Drosophila melanogaster: one gene and its partner. The protein of the gene in region 2 interacts with the protein of the main gene of each other region in a pairwise test. Each region holds a gene or a part of one and is shown on either strand. Other genes may lie near its edges.

Region 1 (4,180 bases), on a different chromosome or scaffold from region 2:
AATCGTTAAATGACTACTTCAGAGCATACAGTAGGCCTAAGTGTATCATATCAGATAGAGGAGCATGTTTCACGTCTGGCGATTTTGACTCATTTTTGAAAGAATGCAATGTTAAACACATAAAAATTGCAACAGGATCGCCACAAGCCAACGGTCAAGTTGAACGTATAAACCGAAGTCTTGGTCCAATGATTAGCAAGTTAATTGAACCTGATCAAGGTCTACACTGGGACTTAGTCTTAGAAAAGGTCGAATATACCCTGAACAATACACTACACCGCAGCATTAAACAGTATCCTAGCATAATGTTATTTGGGTTACAACAAAAAGGACAAATTATGGATGAGTTAAAAGAAAAAATTGAGGAAATTGGAGAAACGATTGAAGAAAGAGATTTAGAAAGTATTAGAAATAAAGGCGAGGCAAGTCAGAAAATAGCACAAGCATACAATAAAGAATATGTTGACAAAAAACGAAAACGATCAGGAGTGTTCACAAAAGGCGACTACGTCATGGTTAAAAATTTTGACTCAACAACAGGCATAGCTAAGAAGTTAATTCCAAAGCATAAAGGACCCTATGTCATAAGCAAAGTTCTCAAAAATGATCGCTTCCTTCTGGAAGATGTTGATGGATTTCAAATTTCTCGCAATCCTTACCGGGGTGTATGGAGCATACAGAATATAAAACACTGGCAAAGAAAAATTAAGAGTCTACAAAATAGAAAGTATAATTTGAGAAACTCTGTACAAAATAGAAAGTATAATTTGAGAAACTCTGTACAAAATAGAAAGTATAATTTAAGAAACTCTGTACGAAATCGAAAGTATAATTTAAGAAGCAATTGTAAAACAAAGAAAACAAACAAGAAGAAAAGAAAACCAAAAAAATGTTTAAGACCGTTCAAAAGTATCTCCACTAAGAAGAATAAAATAAGAAACAGGACCCTTAGCTTTAAGAAACGTTAATTGTTATAAAATCCTACGATCGGGAGATCTAGTAGTCAGGACGGCCGAGTTGTAGTAGGCTGCTCCTTCTACCCTCTTCCTTTACTCTTAGTCATACATACCTAATTATACATAGCCAATCTAGTCATAAGCTTATACACTCATACACCCATCCTTAACATACAAATATTATCGAGAAACTTATCGACTAATCGACTCGCCACTCTGCAGAGAGCGCGGCAGTCAGTCGCTGTTGAACCAAGCTAAAGGACAGATCAAAAATAAAAGAGACACGTGAAATTGTATTAGAATATTAACTTCTGTAAACGGCGGCTAAAGTATAGTATAGTATATTCTAGTATGGTATCGTATAATATAGCATAGTTATAGGTAACAAAATGATACAAAAAAATAATAATAATATTCAAAGAGACATGACGAAGAGCTCAGTTGACGCAGAAATCGTTCAGCAATTCATTTATTGGTCCGAACTCCGAATTAAGATATTCGATGAGATTGGGAGTTCGGTCTGTAGATGACTATTCCAGCGTTTCTCAGATGTTCGAGAACCGTCAATGGCGCTGAGATCTTGGAGATCTTGGCGTGACATATGCAATTCCCTTATCAATCCGATGCGATACCACCGCCACCACAGGAGTCTGTTCTTCTGCGAAATAGGCAATTCCGATGTTATTGCCGTGTAATTTACATGCGGCCCCGCTATCGTACATCAGTAAATCAAAAATCGAAGAACGAAAAATCAGCGCTATCTTGGAGTTCTGATTGAGATAGCGTGTGCATTTTGGAAATTGTTTTTCGCCGAACAAAACCGAGCAGAATGGCCTTTGCATATTTAAGAGCTCCAGCCTCCGAAGGTGCAGTATCATTTGAGTTGTGAGTGCCGCCAAGATCGCAGCGGGGCGTTCGAGAAACCAGGATACAAGTTAACCAAAGGATATAAAACATGAATAGAGGTAAACTAAAGTGGGACGCCAGCTGAACATTGACAGTGATGGATTTCGTTTGAAAGAATTGCTCTTTAAAAATGTACATATAAATTAAATTCAAACATTAAGTTTTTAAGTTGATAGGGCTTTCTGGCAGAAGGGTAATTTTCGTACCAGCTATCGTAGTTTAAATTTAAAAATTGACTCACATGTTTGGGGTTAATAAATGGTAAAGCACACTGGATATGCCATCCTGTTCCTGACACAATGTTCCCACGATTTTCGATTTTACTTGCAGCTAGCGGTGTCCTGTCGCTGCTGTTTGTGGCCAGCGCCCTGGGCGGCGTGATCGAGGACTTTGAATACCTATCGGTGGCCGAGATGTGCGACCTGCTGCCGCAGGAGACAAGCTTCCTGCGACCGAATACCTGCGACAACTGGGTGCGGTGCGCCAGCAACTACAGCGTGCTGGAGCAGGGCGGCTGTGCCGCAGGACTCAACTACAACAAGGAGCTAGGCCGCTGCATCCTGGCATCCTCCAGCGCCGCGGTGTGTCCCTATGCCGACAGCATTGCGGACAAGGCCACGAACCTGTGCGCCAACGAAACGGAAGGCGCCTTCATCGTGGATCCCAGCAGCAGCGATTGTCGCGGCTACATCTTGTGCAAGTCGCACAAGCAGATCAAGGCCAACTGTCCCAACGAGCTGATCTTCCATCCCGTATCGAGGTCTTGCGTGTACGAAAAGCAGTACCGTTGCCCCATCAGCCAGACGAAGAAGACCAGTCCCGCCTGCCGATCCCTGCCGAACAACACCCGTCTGGCCGATCCCGTCCACTGTGACCAGTACTACGAGTGCGTCAGCGAGGTCTTGCACAGCCGAGCCTGTCCAGTGGCCAGTGCCTACGATGCTAATCTCGGCTACTGCGTGGATGTGGCTGAGGTGTCCTGCTACGAGAGTGCCGCCCTGCCGGAACCGGAAAACACCTTCTGCCTGGACAGTGCCACCGGATCCGCTCGCGTTGGCTACTTTGCCGACGACGAGTCCTGCTCCCACTACTATATCTGTGGCAGCCCCGTCGCCGGCAAGCACGACACGGAGCCCAAGCACCTGAGCTGTCCACTTGGCCAGTACTTCGACTTCGAGAAGCTCTCGTGCCGCGACAGACTTAACGTACGCTGCCAGCTGGACAGGTGTGTGGGCACCAACATCACCTACGTAAACGTCGCCGGCGATTGCCAGAGCTATGGACGTTGCTCCGGCGGAGTGACCGTCAGCCTGGGCCAGTGCCCAACGGGCTACTACTTCGACGAGCGCAACCAGGGATGCACACAGACCAACTACCACAACATCGCATGTTCCGTGTAGGCTGTCCCAGAAGATCGCATCCTTACCACAATCCTTACCAAATCGCATCCAATTTAAATATCCAATAAATCGATCCAATTCATGGTGGAGGTCAAATGCATTGCTTGAAAGGAATTCATGTACTTTGTGGTGGGAAGTGTTAAGTTTTATGACATTCATCCATTTACTTTTTACCATGGAAATGGGTCTACAAATATTAGCTTCTCGAAAAATGTCCAATAAATGTGTTACTCCATTGAAACCTGAAATGTATATATATATAGTTTATCCATTGCATTTGGCTCTATTGTAGTTTTATTCCCTTTCCATTCGAATTTTACCGTCTGCTTCCTCTTTATAGAAGATGTTACCCTAACCTTGAACAATAAAATATGAATTGGTATAAATAATGCTAGAGAAATACTATGATTTTTTGGACTGATTTTTGAACTACATTGGCGGAAATGTTCATTAGCGAAACGAAGTTGGCGTGATAAAATTCTTCTGGCAACCCTTTTGATATCAAAACTGCGCCACACAACGATTCATATTTGGCAATCTGTTTTCGTGACACTTGCAGTGCCCAAAAAATTATCAGTTTTAATTAAAATTGTACCCCAGTGGAGGGTTCGGAGAATTTCAAACCGATTCCAGATAGTCCAGATAATGAATTCGCTACTCGGAGCTGCCGCGATCGCTTATTTCCGTGTTGGCCATCAGGCGAGCAAGAAGTATCCAACGCCCAAGGGTCGTTTTTGTCTATCACTAATTAAATTCAACTATTAGGGTCGATGTTACCCATTAGGTCCACAAATATTGTATGAGTGTGAAATGCAAATGAAATGCATCGACGCGCTTTCGTTCTCCATAGAAATCAATTATGTCCACTTTAAGAAGGAAGTTATACAAGTCCACAGGGCGGATGATTGATTTGTATGT
Region 2 (3,559 bases):
CTGTGCAAAGGTATCGCATTTTTATGCTGAATTTTCAAACTGCCAAATGGGCGGCACTGGGCGACCTAAATTGCGATTCCACCTGTCATCAGCCGAGCTCTTCTTTGCCTTACCTATCATTATAGCCGATTTTGCCGCCCGTTTGTTATTGAACAATTGCGTGGGATGCCATTGGCATAACGCACAACAATGGGGAAGGACAACCAAACGATGTGTGTAATGACAGCCTGCGTTTCGGATTTATTGTATTTATTATATGCGACACTTGTTGCTGCGAATAAAGTTGCGGGTAAGTCAGTTCTCCCATCATTAAATCGATTCTCATCATATGCACTTTGTGTAACAATAATTATATAATAATATCAATGATATTACTCACTGTCTATGCTATAAGTGTATCAAGTTTAAAATGAGTCGCAAGACTATCAATAACTATCAATTAGAGTATATATCTAATGATAGTTTAATTTAAATATAACTAGCATCTAGATTTCACCCTTCATCGAAAACAACATTCAGCTTGGGTATAATTGTTTTTTTTTTTTTGTTCAAATTTTTTATTTGTTTTGCAAAGAAACCTGAGTGCCACGCCCCTCCTGGGCCGTTGAATGGGTGAGTGGGTGGTATTGGGGTGTGCATGAGTGGGCGTGGGCGTAGGCATGGGCGTTGGTCGATCAGGCTGTTTTTTTTTTTTTTTTTTGTAAAAAAAACATAGTAACTAATCAGCCGGATAAGCGAATGACTAAACCAGCCGCTTCAGTTGATTCCGGAGCCGCAGCAGTCATCCAATCCGTAACTCCTCCGCATCTGTTACCTAATAGGCGGGAGCAGCATAGCCGCCATGTCCGGCTGGACCGGCGCTATAGTGCTGATGGCTTGGAGCGGGACCATAGGGACCCTCACGCTCGCCGGCGATGTTGGCAAGAGCGGACAGACCCTGGTTGCCGCTCTGGAGCAGCTGATAGCCAGCGCTGGCGGCAGCGGAATCAGCTCCCGAAGCGTAGGCGGGCAGAGCACGGCCACCGTCATGGGGTCCAGGACCATGGGGTCCAGCACCGTGTCCACCGTGTCCGTGTCCGCTGTGTCCGTGTCCATGGCCACCGTGTCCATGGCCGTGTCCGTGGGACTGCGAGCCCTGTCCGTAGCCCTGCTTGTTCTCGTTGACAAAGTACTTCTCTGCTGGGGGCTTGACCACATTGACGAACACGGGCTCAACCTTGACGCGACGTGGGTGGTGCTTGACGTAGACCTTGCGGAGAACGATTGCTGGGGGCTTGTGGAGCACCACGGGAGCGGGCTTAACCACCAATGGTGGATGGTTCACCAGCACCTTGGTGGGCGGACGCTTGACAATGATGGGAGCGGGACGATGGATGAGGATCTCGCCCTTGTTCTGCGGGTAGGTGATCGATGAGGTCAGGGTGTTACCCTTGGTGTTCACCGGCTTGTACGGAATGTTCTGGTCGGATCCGTAGCTGCTCTGGCCAGCCTGTGCCACACCGGCGGCATCGGCTCCGGATTCGAGAGCACCAGCACCGGCGTTAGCACCACCGTACTCGCCACCAGCTCCACCGGCACCGCCGGCAGCTGCTGCGGCCGCTGAAGCGGCATCAGCACCGCCATCGGAGGCACCGCTTCCGGACTCGGGTCCATAGCCCTGGGAACTGCCGTAGTTGGCGCTTGCACAGGCCTAAAAGTAAATTGAGGGGGGGGGGGTGGATTAGAATTGGATCGACATATACATATACTTAAAATAAGTCTAGCATCGATAGATAGCTTGATTCCGTTTCAAGTAATTTAAAGGAAAGTCAATTTGCTTTTCATGTACGATTTACATGGCACAAACGAAAGCAGTCAGAATTGATAGACTTGGTTTTCTTGGGATTAATCCTAAGATTTCGAGCTTGAACACTTACGATCAGGCAGGCGGCCAGCGCCCAAATGTAGGTCGATCTCGTCATCTTGTCTCCCAGTTGCAGTTCCAGTTGCTCTTCGGCTTCTGGTGTGCTCCCGCTTGGACTGTCTGCTGTCTTCTGCTGCCCTCCATTGGTGGCCGACTACTTTAAATATGCTCCGGACGCGTCTCCGGCTCCGGGTACGTGACATTTGGATTGATGCCAACTCCGGTGCCGGCTGTTCCGCTCCGGGCCCACGCGATGCGAACGAAACATGGCCAAATGTTGATAGATCGCACGCATCGCTGCCAGCGCATATCACGGCGTCTCTTCCACTTACGTAGAAGCCACAACCCGAAAACCCCACTGCCCACTGCCCAGTTGCCATTGCCCGTTTTACAATAACAACGAACACATTGCCACCGAATCGGAATCAACAGCCGGGCTGTGAATCTTTGCCGCATATCGAGGTCCGAACGTCTGTTCAGATAGCGAAAATAGTTCCGCATTGGCAGACACAAGACTCCGGGAGTCGGAATAAGAGGTAATCCGAGGTGTAAGTGGATAGGGGGAAATGATTAGCCACCCAGCTGTAGTCCTTGAATTTCACACGGATTGCGCAGATTCGATTGTCTTTCTATTGTATTGTATTGTATTGTATTGTATTGTATTGTATTGTATTGTATTTCTTACTATAAATGTGATTAGATTGTTAGAAGAGTGGCTATCTTCACATGACCATTTTTAATTTAGAAAATCCATGTAACTGATTAAACCATCAGTTTAAAGTACCATATAAAAATGTATACTTAATAATTGCCAGATAAAATAAATCTCTAGTTGCAAAGAGATTTGAAGATGAAATATGGATCTTTAGCTATTCCAATTAGGAATTCAAAGGCTTACAAACACCTAAAAAGATTTCCAATTCTTCAATTATTATGTTGTTATGTTTTAAAACAATCTTATGAAACTCTAATATGAATTTGGCGTTTCAAAAGAAAAGGTTTAAATACGTATTTAATGCATTAAAAGTGCTATATTCTTTGTTTAAAAGAAAAGAGGCCGTAAAATTATAGTTGCTCCATTAATTCATAGTTATGTTATTATTTATTATTCATTCCGGAATCAACAATATGTTGATAAAGATGACCTTTTGATCCCATTCTTTGCAATTAAACGATAACTGGAATAAGATAGCTACCATCACAAGAGTGTGAAATAATTTCATGCATGATAATGCTATCCAATATCTTTCGAATTGTATCTCATAAAATGCGTACCATGTTTATGCATATTTATAGAATAGTTAAAATACTTGTATGACCGTAGAGATTTCAATTACAAACTTATTTATACTCGTTCATAATTTTATGTTCATACTTTATACCATTTTCCCCTTTATTATTTATTTTTGAAGAAAACTAGATATAATTTTTTGTTCTCTCATGCATTCGTATATATTTATATATTCATAAATATGTGCTTAATCTGTGTGCTTCATTGCCACTCAGGTAGCCCCTTCCGGTCGAAAATAATTGATGACAAAACGTTTACGTTTCAAGTATTTTTTTTTCATTTATTTGCGCTCAGTAGTTCGGCAAAGAAAAAAAAAAACAAAAATTTAAATTAAACCAGCTGTCGCAGCTGAGGAGCAACCCATG

What was found. Proteins that work in one complex are often made in the same cells at the same time.
Region 1: the proteins of Cp38 (region 2) and CG7017 interact in a two-hybrid assay, tested with the Drosophila melanogaster proteins (one large-scale study listed by BioGRID).

Annotation. Positions count from the first base shown.
Region 1 is NT_037436.4:20,209,765-20,213,944, reverse strand, and holds CG7017 (uncharacterized protein), read left to right. Parts: upstream 1-1,822; 5' UTR 1,823-1,911; coding exon 1,912-1,921; intron 1,922-2,192; coding exon 2,193-3,262; 3' UTR 3,263-3,653; downstream 3,654-4,180.
Region 2 is NC_004354.4:8,480,316-8,483,874, reverse strand, and holds Cp38 (chorion protein 38), read right to left. Parts: upstream 2,039-3,559; 5' UTR 1,962-2,038; coding exon 1,917-1,961; intron 1,691-1,916; coding exon 815-1,690; 3' UTR 564-814; downstream 1-563.